2 linked regions of the Caenorhabditis elegans genome follow. The gene in region 1 interacts genetically with each later gene. Each region holds a gene or a part of one and is shown in the gene's direction. Other genes may lie near its edges. The genes, in order: mib-1 and lin-18.

The links.
Region 2: of mib-1 (region 1) and lin-18, changing one enhances a phenotype caused by changing the other (phenotypic enhancement), as found in Caenorhabditis elegans (one study listed by BioGRID).

The regions. Positions count from the first base shown.
Region 1 is NC_003281.10:11,285,693-11,292,470, reverse strand, and holds mib-1 (RING-type domain-containing protein), read left to right. Parts: upstream 1-1,794; 5' UTR 1,795-1,905; coding exon 1,906-2,058; intron 2,059-2,145; coding exon 2,146-2,241; intron 2,242-2,634; coding exon 2,635-2,979; intron 2,980-3,396; coding exon 3,397-3,659; intron 3,660-3,719; coding exon 3,720-3,942; intron 3,943-4,005; coding exon 4,006-4,112; intron 4,113-4,157; coding exon 4,158-4,281; intron 4,282-4,474; coding exon 4,475-4,830; intron 4,831-5,015; coding exon 5,016-5,102; intron 5,103-5,290; coding exon 5,291-5,499; intron 5,500-5,650; coding exon 5,651-5,874; intron 5,875-5,939; coding exon 5,940-6,050; 3' UTR 6,051-6,136; downstream 6,137-6,778. Other genes in the region: smc-3 (Structural maintenance of chromosomes protein 3), read right to left, coding at 836-1,022, 1,075-1,307, 1,357-1,471, 1,515-1,529; gly-9 (putative N-acetylgalactosaminyltransferase 9), read left to right, coding at 6,353-6,485, 6,536-6,778.
Region 2 is NC_003284.9:3,956,723-3,962,529, forward strand, and holds lin-18 (Inactive tyrosine-protein kinase RYK), read left to right. Parts: upstream 1-1,829; 5' UTR 1,830-1,837; coding exon 1,838-1,937; intron 1,938-2,118; coding exon 2,119-2,240; intron 2,241-2,295; coding exon 2,296-2,389; intron 2,390-2,440; coding exon 2,441-2,596; intron 2,597-3,428; coding exon 3,429-3,588; intron 3,589-3,635; coding exon 3,636-3,706; intron 3,707-3,751; coding exon 3,752-3,840; intron 3,841-3,907; coding exon 3,908-3,983; intron 3,984-4,031; coding exon 4,032-4,379; intron 4,380-4,426; coding exon 4,427-4,713; intron 4,714-4,763; coding exon 4,764-4,900; intron 4,901-4,950; coding exon 4,951-5,062; 3' UTR 5,063-5,185; downstream 5,186-5,807. Other genes in the region: C16B8.2 (uncharacterized protein), read right to left, coding at 5,208-5,401, 5,468-5,580, 5,625-5,807. UniProt on the Caenorhabditis elegans protein: Has no detectable kinase activity in vitro and is unlikely to function as a tyrosine kinase in vivo. Receptor which may act as a receptor for Wnt ligand mom-2. Plays a role in controlling P7.p vulva precursor cell lineage orientation during vulva development.

The DNA.
Region 1 (6,778 bases):
AAATCAATTAAATTTCAGGTTTTGATAATTGTTTTTCTTCAAAAAAAAAAGGGTGAATTTTCGATTTTTTGAATTTTTTTTTGTAAAATTGCAGAAAAATCGATAAAATTTCAAGATTTGAGCATTTTTTCTTCAAAAATGTTAACTTTCTGATTTTTCAAATATTTTTTCTTGTAAAATTTGAGAAAAATCGATAAAATTTCACGTACCTATTTTCTTCGAACTATTTTCTTCGAAAAATTTCTTAAAACTCTTAAAAAGCTTTTTTTTTTTAGTTTTTTTAGCTAAATTTTTTTGAAATTTCTGAGCTTTTTGAATATTTTACCAGATAAATTTTTCGGTCGAAATACCAGATTTTGAGCACTTTTTGTCTTCAAAAATCTTCAAAAATCCAGTAAAATCGGTAAACTTCAAGCTTTTTTGAATGAAAATTTCAATAAATTCTGACATTTTCCAGAAAAACAAGCGATTTTTGTTGAAAATAGTCAAAATTTGGTGATTTTCGTAGCTTTTTGACAATTTGCAGTCATTTTTCAGATAGAAAATCAATATATAAAGGTGAATTTCCACTTTTTTGAATAAAAATGCACTAATTTTTGAGAGTTTTTTTTGAAAATAGTCGAAATATGCTGACTTTCGGAGTTTTTGGACAATTTCCAGTCATTTTTGCGCGACTTTGCAAAAGAAAACCAGAGTTTTGCTGAAAATGTGCAATTTTTGCATACTTAACACCAAAAACCATGAAAATTTGATGATTTTCCAGTCATTTTTCAGCAAAAAAAAATCATTTTTCTAACGTTTTCACCGAAAAAACAATTATTTTTCAGGTACGCACTGGTTTCCTTCAGGATTTTCAGACTTTCTTCCTTTCTTTCATCGTAAACTCGTGTTCCGGCGACTTCTCTCAGTAGCTTTAGCTTATAAGCGTCCGGCGAAGTGGCCAACTCGTTGATTTTTCCCTGTTTAACGATGTAATACGGGTTTGAGCGAGAAAATCCGGCGGATTCCATGAGATTTACCACCTGAAATTGAGGAAAAATCGATAAATCTCGAGGTTTTCCACAGCTGGAATACCTCGGCACGTGGCACCATTTTATTATCAATGTAATATTGATCCTTTTTCTTTCCAACTTGACGAACAATCTTCACTTCTGAATTTTCAAACGCCATTAGACGCTTTTCCGAGTTGTCAAAGGTGATTTCGACACGAGCGTGGGCGACTTTCGGTCCGGTACTCTCGTGAAGCAGACCAAGACGTTGTTCTTCTTTCAAATGAGCATATTCATCGGAAAGAACGAATTGAATCGCTGAAAATTGACATTTTTCAGCTTTTCCGCAGAAATTCATGCGGCTAACCATGGAAAAAATTGGATTTTCCCGATCCATTTCGTCCGACGACGACGTTCGAGCGTGGACTGAAGCCCGACACATTGGTGTTGTCTTTGTAGCTTCGAAAGCCGGTGATTCTCACCTGAAAATAGGGAAAAATCGATGAAAAACTTGGGAAAACTCACTTCTTTGATCTTCATCGGTTTATTGCATCAAGTGATGGGATGTTGACTGAAACATCGATAATATAGATGAGAAAATCGCAGAATTTAAGTCAAAAAAAACTTTTTGAATGAGGAAAATCGATGGAAATCGCAAAAAACACTGAAAATCAGCAAAAATAAATTTCAAATTCAAAGCGAAGAATTCGCGGGCGCGACCCGGGACTAGAAATCCCCACTCGGCCACCCGGTGTGTACTCCTCTCGGACAAGGATATTTCGAAAAATGAGGGTTTTTCCAAATAAAAACGTGTTATTCTCGGAAAAATACTAGAAAACCACGGAAAAACGTGTCTAAAACAAAAAACTAAAGCAGAATAACAAAAAATTATTTATTTCAATTATTTCTCACAAAAATGAACGGAGTAGCTGGCGAATCGCCGAGCTACGACGAGTACCTGACGTATTTCACACCGGGCGATCGAATTCTGATATCGGAAAATCATCCAAATCATGCACAACGCCTCAATTCGTACAATAATGTTGCGTGGACGAAGACACATTTGGCTGTGAGTGGCAGAAAAGAAAAAAATGCTGAAATCTGAAATTTTTTGCTGAGAATCTCTTCAAAACAGGCAAATCTTCAACATTTTCAGCTTCTCGGTCACATTGGCTATATCGAGAGCATCAACGAGCACCGGCACACTGCAAATGTTCGGGTTTACTACGCAGTTCCGCAAAATCCAGAGCTTGTAAGCTGATTTTTTGAAGATTTTGTGTAAAATGTGTGATTTTTCGGAATCTAGCGATCTTTTTTGTACTTTTTTCCATTGAAAATCGGAAAAAAAAAGTTTAAATTGCTTGGATACTACCGTAATCGTTTAAAGGCGCACACATTTTTACTGATCGCGCCAGGAGAAGTATTGCGAAAGTGGCGTGCGTCTTTAAAAGGCTACTGTAATTTTTGATTTTCAATATCGAATTTTTAAATGAAAATTGGTTGATAACGGTACAGAAACTGAAATCTTCATTGAAGATACTTAAAACTTTTCCTGAATTTTTTTGATTTCAAGCTTTCAGAGGTAACACTGAAAAAAGAGCCTTTTTCCGAATTTTTCATCCCAAATTTAAATTTAAATTTTCAGTTCAAGCTCTCTACCGAATGGCCGCTGGACGCGTTGGAATTCCCTCAATGTATAGATCATTCAAAAGGTGATCTCGTTGCAATAACCCGCGGAGATCCGGAAAAAACGACAATCGGAATAGTGGCAACGAAGGAACCATTGAATTTAGGTGGAATTCCGAAGCATTTGGTTCAACTGAAAAGCGCCTCGAATCCGACGATTACCCGGGAGATTCAGGTGGCGGTTAATGCGAATACGGGATGGACTGATGAGAGACGGGATATCTTTTTGTGTCCGGTTTATTCGGGTCCCCGATTGTCAATGATTGCTAGAGATAATAATGAGCCGTCGGTTCATACTTATAAGGTAGGTAACTTCAGGCATGTCTGCCTCCAAAACTGCCTGCCTACACGCTTATCTGATTATGTGCCTACCTAGTTGCCTACTATCGCAATAGCCTGTCAAATTGTTGTCTGATGCTGAAAATGCCTGAAAATGCGTCCGCATAAAGCTTGTCTGTCTACATATTTGCCTGATTGTTCATAGGTAAGCTTACAAACCTACATACCTACATGCCTACTTGCCTACACGCCTGCCTCCGCGACTACCTGCTTGTTTTTTTCCTGCCTTCCTACATGTTTGCCTGAAAATGCGTCTGCATAAAGCCTGTCTGTCTACATATTTGCCTGCTGGTCCATAGGTCAGCTTACATGCCTACATGCCTACCTGCCTATCTGCCTACCTACCTACATGCCTACCTGAAAGATAAATCGATTTTTTCAGCACACAATCCACGGCTACACCCCGGACACCTTAATGCAAGTGATCGCGAATTGGGGTGAAGACGCGCTGAGCTATGCGCTTCTCGTCGAATCGATCCGATCGGATCCGCAACAAGTTCGGACCCTTTTCGACGGTCAACTGCCACTTTTCCGTGCTGTCGCCGATGATCTACGGAATGTTGTTGTGATGCTTGTCGCGTTGGGTGCAGATAGAACCGCCAGAGATTCCGAGAATCGAACTATCATTCATGTGGCTGCGGAGAGGTGGGAAATCGTAAAAAAATCGATTTAAAAAAAAATTAAAAAAATCAATAATTCTTGCAGAGGTCTTGACAAAATGCTGGATACTGTAATGCTTCTTCTCCCAAAAGACATCAATTCACAAGCGGCCAACGGTCTAACACCGCTTCATTTGGCCGCCCGTCACGCCCACGCAGCTTGTATCGATCGGCTTCTCGGTACGAGTACTTGTATTCCGTGTGTTCCGAACAATTTTGGCGACACACTTTTGCATGAGGTGTGCCGGCTGCCAGAGTCTTCGAATAAGGTTTGTGTTATTGATTTTTCCGAAAACTGACCAGAAAATCGATAATCGCTAAAACAATTTCAGAAAGCGGCAATAAGTAGAATTCTGACAAATACTCGTGCGAACATTCATCACGTGAACAATAGCAATATGACACCCATCCAAATTGCAATTATGAGTGGTCATGTCAGGTAAAACCTCTATTAGAAGTGCACCACCCCCTCCAACATTTTCAGCACCGTCGAGCAGCTTCTCCTGTTGCGTGCCTCCTACCGTAATACCACCTCGAAAACTGGAATGAGCGCATTGCATTTTGCCGCTGCCTCTGGCCATGCGAATGTTGTCAATAAACTTATTTCGGTAGGTGAAAAAAATTAGTAGTGTTGGTGGCCGAGGTTTATGCAAAACTCGGCCACGTTAGTTTTTAGGATTTTTTTGCCGAAAATAATGAATTTAAGATCAAAATTTTTCTCGAAAAATTTTAATTTTTCGCCAAAATTTTTTTTCCAGAAATTTGAATTTTCCGACAACTTTTTTTAATTATTTTCTTCAGCTTGGCCTAGAAGTCCACCGTCGTGACAAGTTCGGTCGCGGAGTACTCCACTACGCCCTCGAAAAATGGACAGGAGAAGCGGAAAAAGACTGTAATCGGCTTGCAGCAATTCAGGCTCTCGTTAAAGCCGGCGCTCCATCGAATATTATCGATTTGAATGGACAGACACCGGTTTTCCAGTTGATTCGTGAAATGTTGAGCAATTCGGAGCAATATCCGGCGTCGTTGGTTCCGGTTTGTGCTCAACTTGTTCGTACGAACCTGAATCTTGATGAGATGGCAAGCCGACTTCGTCCGATGTGGCAACTTGCCACTATTTGCTTTTTGGTTGCTAATGGAGCGGATTTGAATGTCAAGTTGGTCTATTTTTTTTAAAGAAAATCGATAATTTTTCTCTTTTTCTGGGAAAATCGATATTCTTCAAGAAAGTCAATATTTCGGATAAAAATCGATATTTAAAAAAAAAATCGATTTCTCTAGAAAAATATGTTTTTCGACAAAAATCGATAGTTTTCAGAAAAATCAATAATGTCCCTTTCAGAGATCGCAGAGGGATGACCGTGATGGATTTGTGCGAAGAATCATCATTTAGATCGATTATCGTTCATATTGCACAGACTAAGCAGAGGTTGGGATTTCAGTGATGGCCGCCGAAATGAGAAAACTCGGCCACCAATTGATTTTTCGATTTTTTTTTTGAAAAGTTTCTGAAATTGATGCGTAAGGTACTATCAAATATAGAGAATCAACAAACAAAAAAAAATGGGTGGCCGAGTTTCCGAAAAAATTCGGCCATGTCGCAAAACTCAATTTCAGACAGGTGATGCCGATGATGATGGCGATGAGTGAGGATAAATTCGACTCGACAGAAGTAACAATGTGCACATTTTCATGTCTCAATTCGGTTGCCACTGTCAAATTGGACCCGTGCGGTCATCGGGTCGCTTGTGTCGATTGTACGGAGAAAGTGGCAATCCGCCGATGCCCAGTGTGTCGTCAATTTATCAACGAGGCTCATGATCAAGGTATTTGCGAGGATTTACGGGGTGTGGCCTAGAAATACCTTTTTAGAGTTTTCTAGGCCACGTTGGCAATTTGATCAATTTTGTTTTCGTGGAAAATCGATTATCGATGTATCGATTTTTCTCTGTATACTAAATATCGATGTTTAAACAGACGGAAAGCCAGTTCAAATCGGCTCCCGCTGCCATGAACCATCCGATGGCGATCGTCAACAAGTTTCGGCAGAAGTTCGCAAACAAATCGCCGACGATGCGGCGAGAGAGGCGAAAATCGAAGTGGAACGTGAAAAGCAGAATGAGTTGAATCAACTGAGAAAACGTTTGGAGCAGCTCGAGTTGGAGACGAACTGCGCGATTTGTATGGATTTGAAGATTGCGGTGAGTATGGCTTTAAACAAAAAATCAATAAATTATCGATTTTTTGAAAAATTAAATATTTTCAGGTTGTATTTAATTGTGGACATACGGCTTGTGTGGATTGTGCCGATAAACTGAAGAAGCAATGTCACATCTGCAGAAAGACTATCGAGACGATGCAGCCGATCTACTCGTGAATATCAATTTATTGCTTTTGATTGTGTATACTCCATTTCTGTGTAAATAAATAAGATTTTATTGAGAAATAAAGGGGTTTTAACTGGAAAATATGCTACAATGATTTGAATTGCCGCGCAAAAAGGCGTGGGGGCCGTGGCCGCGGGGCTCCGGAACCTCGTCCATCTCGACATTTTTGCCACGTTTTTCAATTTAATTCAATTTAAACCCAATTGTTCATGATTTTCACTCATTTTTAAGTGATTTTTACAATAAAAGTTCAAAATAACTCGAAAAACACTGAAAAATAAATATTTCCAGCATGCTTCGGTATATTATTCCTCGCAAGAAGGGCACGTTCGTCATCGCCGCCTTTCTGACCGTCGCCTTCTTCTGCATCGTAGCTTATCATCGGAACGATCGGCGACGCACGAAATTCCAGTTTCCGGATATTGGTGGGCAATTTTAGTGGAATTTTTCTATTAAAAAATCTATTTTTTTGCAGAAAAATACGCAGAAGAGCTCGTAAGGCTTCCGGAAACATGGAACGGGGAGCTCCACCAAATCCCGAACTACACAGCGCCCCGGGAAGGTCCTGGAGAGAAGGGAAAACCCGTTGTGCTCACCGGAAAAGACGCAGAGCTCGGTCAGGCCGATATGAAGAAATGGTTTATGAATGTGCATGCTTCTGATAAAATATCACTTGATCGAGACGTACCTGATCCGAGAATTCAGGCGTGTAAAGATA
Region 2 (5,807 bases), on another chromosome or scaffold:
TTATTGTAATTCTTTCTGATGATTCATAACAGCAACTTTCTTACAATGAGCCAGTCAATGTTGTACGCCGCCCAAAAATGGAGCTCCATGAGCGGAAATCATTTTGTGACAGCTTGGGCTTGAGATTAAAACGCCTGCCATTCTTCTTCCCCCACCGCCTCAAGCACCAACCATTTCAAAAGATAAACTTGGATTATTTTGGCACCCCGCACAATGAGTGGCCTCCCGCGGCCGCCGAAAAGTGATCCTCCGCCTCCTTTTCCCGTTTCTTTCCCATTGAGTACTCGTTGCCCCATATGATAGTGGCCAATCAACAATTATTTGCCAGCAGCTCATGGTTTTTAGGCAAATTTATTGAGGAAGTAGATTTTGTTAATACTCTCGTTAAAACATTGAATGTTGTTTTTAATTTGAAATAAATAATACCATACTGTTTTATAGCTGCGTTAAATAATTGAAACTTACACGAATTCTAATTGTGCTGACTGAGTTATACGTTTTTTCTTTAAAGAAAGAGTAATATTTCCAGCTAATTTGTTTCGAACATGTGATTAAATAAACTATTTTCATTATAAATATCTGAAAATAAAACTTTAAAATTTTACTTATTTTTTTAAATGGCCGTTGACAACTTCAAAAAACAATTGCCTAGTTTTAGCTAAACTCTCCCGTTTTGGCCACTTTCAGTTGCCGAAATTGGGGATTTTAGCTAGGCCACTAAAAACAAAAAAAAAATGTTTTTCTAAAAATTGTTTTTTTGGGCTAGGAAATTTGTATATTTGAGATTATTTTAGGTGTATACCTTTAAAATACCCAGAATTTTCACTCCTTCTTTTGACAAAATAAATGCTCCGAAACCACTATTCCCATTTTCACGTTCAATCGTTGCAAATTACCGCTAGAATGTCTTGCGCAACCGAGTTTGCAAATACTTTTTCACAGAAAAAAAGTTCTAACAGTTGCGTCATCCGCAGTCCTTTGCCCTTTTTTTCCTTCTCATGTTTTTTTTGTTGCTACCCCTCCCACCCTTTTCTTCTTTCCTAATGTAATTTTTGTTTGGTGCCATTGTACATAAAGCGGCTTGCACTAACCCAATTTGAAAAGCACACATCCCGACATCCACACACACACACACACACACACACACACATTCACCCATCTTTCTATAGATACTCCATTCACAGGACAAAAAAGATCTCCAAAATAAAAGAAGACGTGGTTGTAGATGTGTTGTATATTTGTATTTCTGTCAATTTTTTCTATTTCTCATTGGTCATCCTTTTATTGCTACAACGCTGTTTTGTTTCCCCGGCGTGATTGGGTGCCACTCCTGGACTGAATTGAGTCAGAATGAGTGGAGAGAAAGAGCTGTGAGAGAGAGAGTGAAATAAAGACATTTAAAAGGAAGTGAATGAAGAAGATCGCATTTCGCCAAATTGGCATCCCTAGATTAACGTGCAAGTTCTTTGAAGCTAACTCTTTGATAGGAAATTCCTCCAAAAAAACAAAGACGTCCCAGTGGGCGGGACTATCACCTTTCAAAAATTCTATTTCTGAACTTTTGTCTACATATATACCAAATATCGGAATTTAATTTCAACCAATTTGTTTCATTTGTTATCCAAAATGTTGCATTTTGTTGACCTCTATTTTTGAGAAGAACACCGCCGTCAGTTGTCGACGCGTATTCAGGTGTCTTTCTTCTCTATCATTCATCACTTTCGTTTCGCTTTTGAACACTCGATGAATTAATTTGCCTCCTTTCTTTCATCTCCAGATTCCTCAATGTTGCGAATTGAAAAATTCGAAAACTGTTTCATTTTTTGCAGCGAATGGGATGATTCTTCGCTACCTGATTTTTTTCGCGCAGTTATGGGCACTCTGCCTGGCCAATGTGAATATGTTCATCAGCAAAGAGGAAATGAATCGTACTTTTGGTAAGAAATAGTTATCTGTTAAAGGTTGAGTGCGGTCAGTGGGGGAATATATGAAAAATATTTATTTGGTTCTAAAGTGACCTAATATCAGAATAAAACATTCAAAAAAATGTTGAAAAATTTTGGAAAAGATTATTGAAATTCCAACATTTAAGCTATGGCCTAAAATAATTTATTACAGGTGTCAAAGCTGAGCTGAATTACATTGAAATGGGGAATGTTAGCTCGTACTCTACAAAGTTTCACTACAGAGTTATGGCAAACATCGACTACCTCTCGTTCACATGGAATGCTGTTGGAATTGTAATAAAAACATACATTATTAAAATCTAAATAATGAGACTTATTTTGTAAACAGGTACACTATGAAGTTTACGTCGAATCTGATGACTCTTCTGTGCTTCCTATTGTTCGAATTCCATTGAAAGGAACGGTGCCAGAATCTTTGCAGGGTATTCATTTCGCGAAACATTTTTCAAATGATAATTTATTGTTTCTTACAGACTTCACCGTTGAATACAGATGTGCCGGACACCGATCCGGACAATTTGCTGTCAGTCTATATTTCACATTCAAATATGGTAATAAGGAGCCGTTGAAAGTGAAATTGCGACAGGAGAAGATCTGCGCTTCAAGGGACGGACGTCGAGGTCTGAACGGTAAGCAAAAGTTGTTATGCTCTAATAGTTGGGCGACGACATCCTCTATGACAAATGTGCACATTGATGCCCAAAAACTTGAAGAGAGGCTCGGAATGATTGAATGACACGCTCTTCTCTATAGTGCAGCTGTTTGATTGTCACAGAAGCGGCGGTAGACGAAAATAAATGAGTTGAATTGAAAGAGAAAAAGGTCCACCGATTATTCGAAAAATAGGAAAAAGGAGAGAAAAACGCTTCAAATGGAGAAGAATAATTGTCATTCTGGGGTGAATGAACTGGATTTCGGAATAGAATACCAATTTTGGGTATAAATTTAAGCATTTTTTCTAAGGAGGGACTTCTATGAAACAAATTGAAATCCATCGGAGTTTTGGATTTTAGTTTTCCTAAATTACTTCATTGCTAGATTAACCTCGTGTATGATTTCCCATACCAAGTTGTCTGAAAAAAGAGGAAAAATGCATATCACGTTTTATTTGAATGTACATATTGATAAGCATTGATTTTTATTTTAATATAATGGCATGTAATACAGAAGTACCAAATTTAGCAAAAACAACTTTTTCAAAAACTCGAAATGCCCCGAAAGTAGTGGAAAGGTAGACTGAAGTATGAATGTTAAAACTTGCGAGTTTAAAAAGTGGGAGCTTCACCTATCTTAGCATAAGCTTTCCATGTCTGGTTTCAAATGCTGGGGTGAAGTGGTTTCAGTTTGTGGTCAGTGAATTAGTGAAACACTGTTTATTTAACAAATAAAGGTAAATACAATTTTTATTAGCAATTATATCACCCTTTGGAATTATCAAATTCCAAATTCTTATATTTCCAGGAGGCTACGAGGGTCATGAAGTCGACGACACTGACTCAATAGACAAGGCATTTTTTGTTATCATTTGCATTGCTGCGGCATTCCTACTTATTGTGGCAGCAACGTTGATCTGTTATTTCAAGCGCTCTAAAAAAGAAGACATGATTCCGACTCGACTTCCGTAGGGTTTATTTTCAACTCTGCCCATTGTCATCCCCTTCCTTTCAGAACGTCTTTTCGGAATTCTTTGAAATCTACAAAAAGCGCGCAGCCTTTTCTTCTGAGCACACCGCGAGATGGTAATCCATCTTGAGATGTTATCATAAATTACATCTCTTTTGTAGGACCTCCGACTCTTTCCGCTATTTCAAGCGCTCCTTGTTCTTCGTCGTCTGCGTCGGGAAATTCGATAATCCCGAGCAAGCCAAGAAACGTGAGTTTTTGTGAAAAGTGACAAGAATATCTTGTCAAGAATGACGCAGGTTTTGAGTTGATTGCAGATTGACGTGAGACGTGCATTGTTACAACTCTATCAAGATCGAGATGCTTTTCAATCTCTACCTCTAGATATGGAGGGTAATTTGGGAACTGGTTAGCTTAAAATTTTAACTTTGCAATTTCTAGGAACATTTGGAGAAGTGAGATATGCAATTTGGCGTCAAGTAGATGACGTACTGAACGGAGATGTTGACGACGAAGAAGACACATTCTGTAACCAGGAAGCTGTTTACACCAAAACGTTGAAAAATAATGCCTCACCAATTCAGCTGGATCGGTTTTTGTCCGACGCCCTTCTATTTTACAACATCACACCTCACCAAAACTTGTCTCAAGTGGCATGTGTGGCTTCCTTCGGAAGATTCGACCGCCCGGAAACTGTCACAGATTTTCCACTTGTTTGTTACAGACACCAAGGCTTTGGAAACCTGAAGAAGTTCCTCACCATCTGCCGACATGGTGATAAAACTAAAGGTACTTTCAAATAAAACAGTCATAACACAAATTAAACTCAATTTTAGGAGCTCAAACTCTCCGAACTCATCAACTCGTCTCTCTGGCCACACAAGTATCTTCTGCAGTAGCTCATATACACAAATATAGAATAGTGCATAACGACATTGCCGCTAGAAACTGCTTGATCGCAGAAGTGAATGGGCGACTCCAAGTGCAATTATGCGACTCGGCGCTGTCCCGCGATCTGTTCCCAGCTGATTATCACTGCTTGGGTGACAATGAGAACAGACCATTGAAATGGATGTCTCCAGAAGCTATTGCAAATGAGCTGTACTCATCGGCCGCTGATGTTGTGAGTGGAGAATAAATATTTCCAAGTTTAACACTATTAAAATTTTTCAGTGGTCACTGGGAGTTCTACTGTGGGAGCTCATGTCGCTAGGAGGATCTCCACACGCTGAAATAGACCCTGAGGAAGTGTACACAATGATTCTCAAAGGAAAGCGTCTGCAACAGCCGAACAATTGTCCGGATCAATTGTTAGTTCATAATAAAGTACACGTTTCATTTTTAATTATAATTTTTCTAGATACGAAGTCATGCTGTGCTGTTGGAGGGTACTCAGCGAAGATCGTCCTAGCAGTGAGCAGGTAGTTCATGGACTTCGAGACTTTAACATTCAACTCAGTCAATACATCTAATTAATTGTTTGCAATGCAAAACCATCCACTTTTGACGGGTTAAATTCGTTTCCGATTCGTTTTATTGTTCCCCACTCTTCATTTAATTAATAAGTACACACAGACATAAATATGAACAACATTATTCTAATTTTGCAATATAAACCTAATCATACATAATATCAATTACGCTTTCAGCATGATTTGCAGATGGTAAAAAGGTAAGTTTTGTCGACGAGCAACTTGTCAGACAAAACTTTCCGGTACCACAATTATTACTTCTGTCGCACCATTTCTTCGTGCAGCATACAGTTTGAATACCACAGTTGCTATCTGTTTGACACTCGTTCCTTACGTAAGCTGCAATTTTTTTTCAATATTTGAGTTAGTGAAGTAACAGAAACAATCTAGAAAACTACTACTTACCAGCAGCATTATCCATTTCTATTCTAATTGGTCTATTGAGACGATTTGCTCTGGTATATTCATTATAGAGCCTGATGTCACTGGCGGTTCTGATTTTTTTCAACGGAGCCCTTCTGAAACAAATGCCATTTAACTTGGTCTGCTAAAACTTGCATACCTGAACTCCCCACTAAATATTCCCAGGTGCGGAATGTCTCCTTTTTTCATCGGATACCAAACTCCCATCTGGTGCTGTTGAAAAGGTGCCGGCTCTGGTGTCACCTCTGGTGGGTCGTCAGATGCCATATCACCACTGATGTTTGATAAGGGAGCAATGTTGGATAGTTTTCCTTGGTGGATC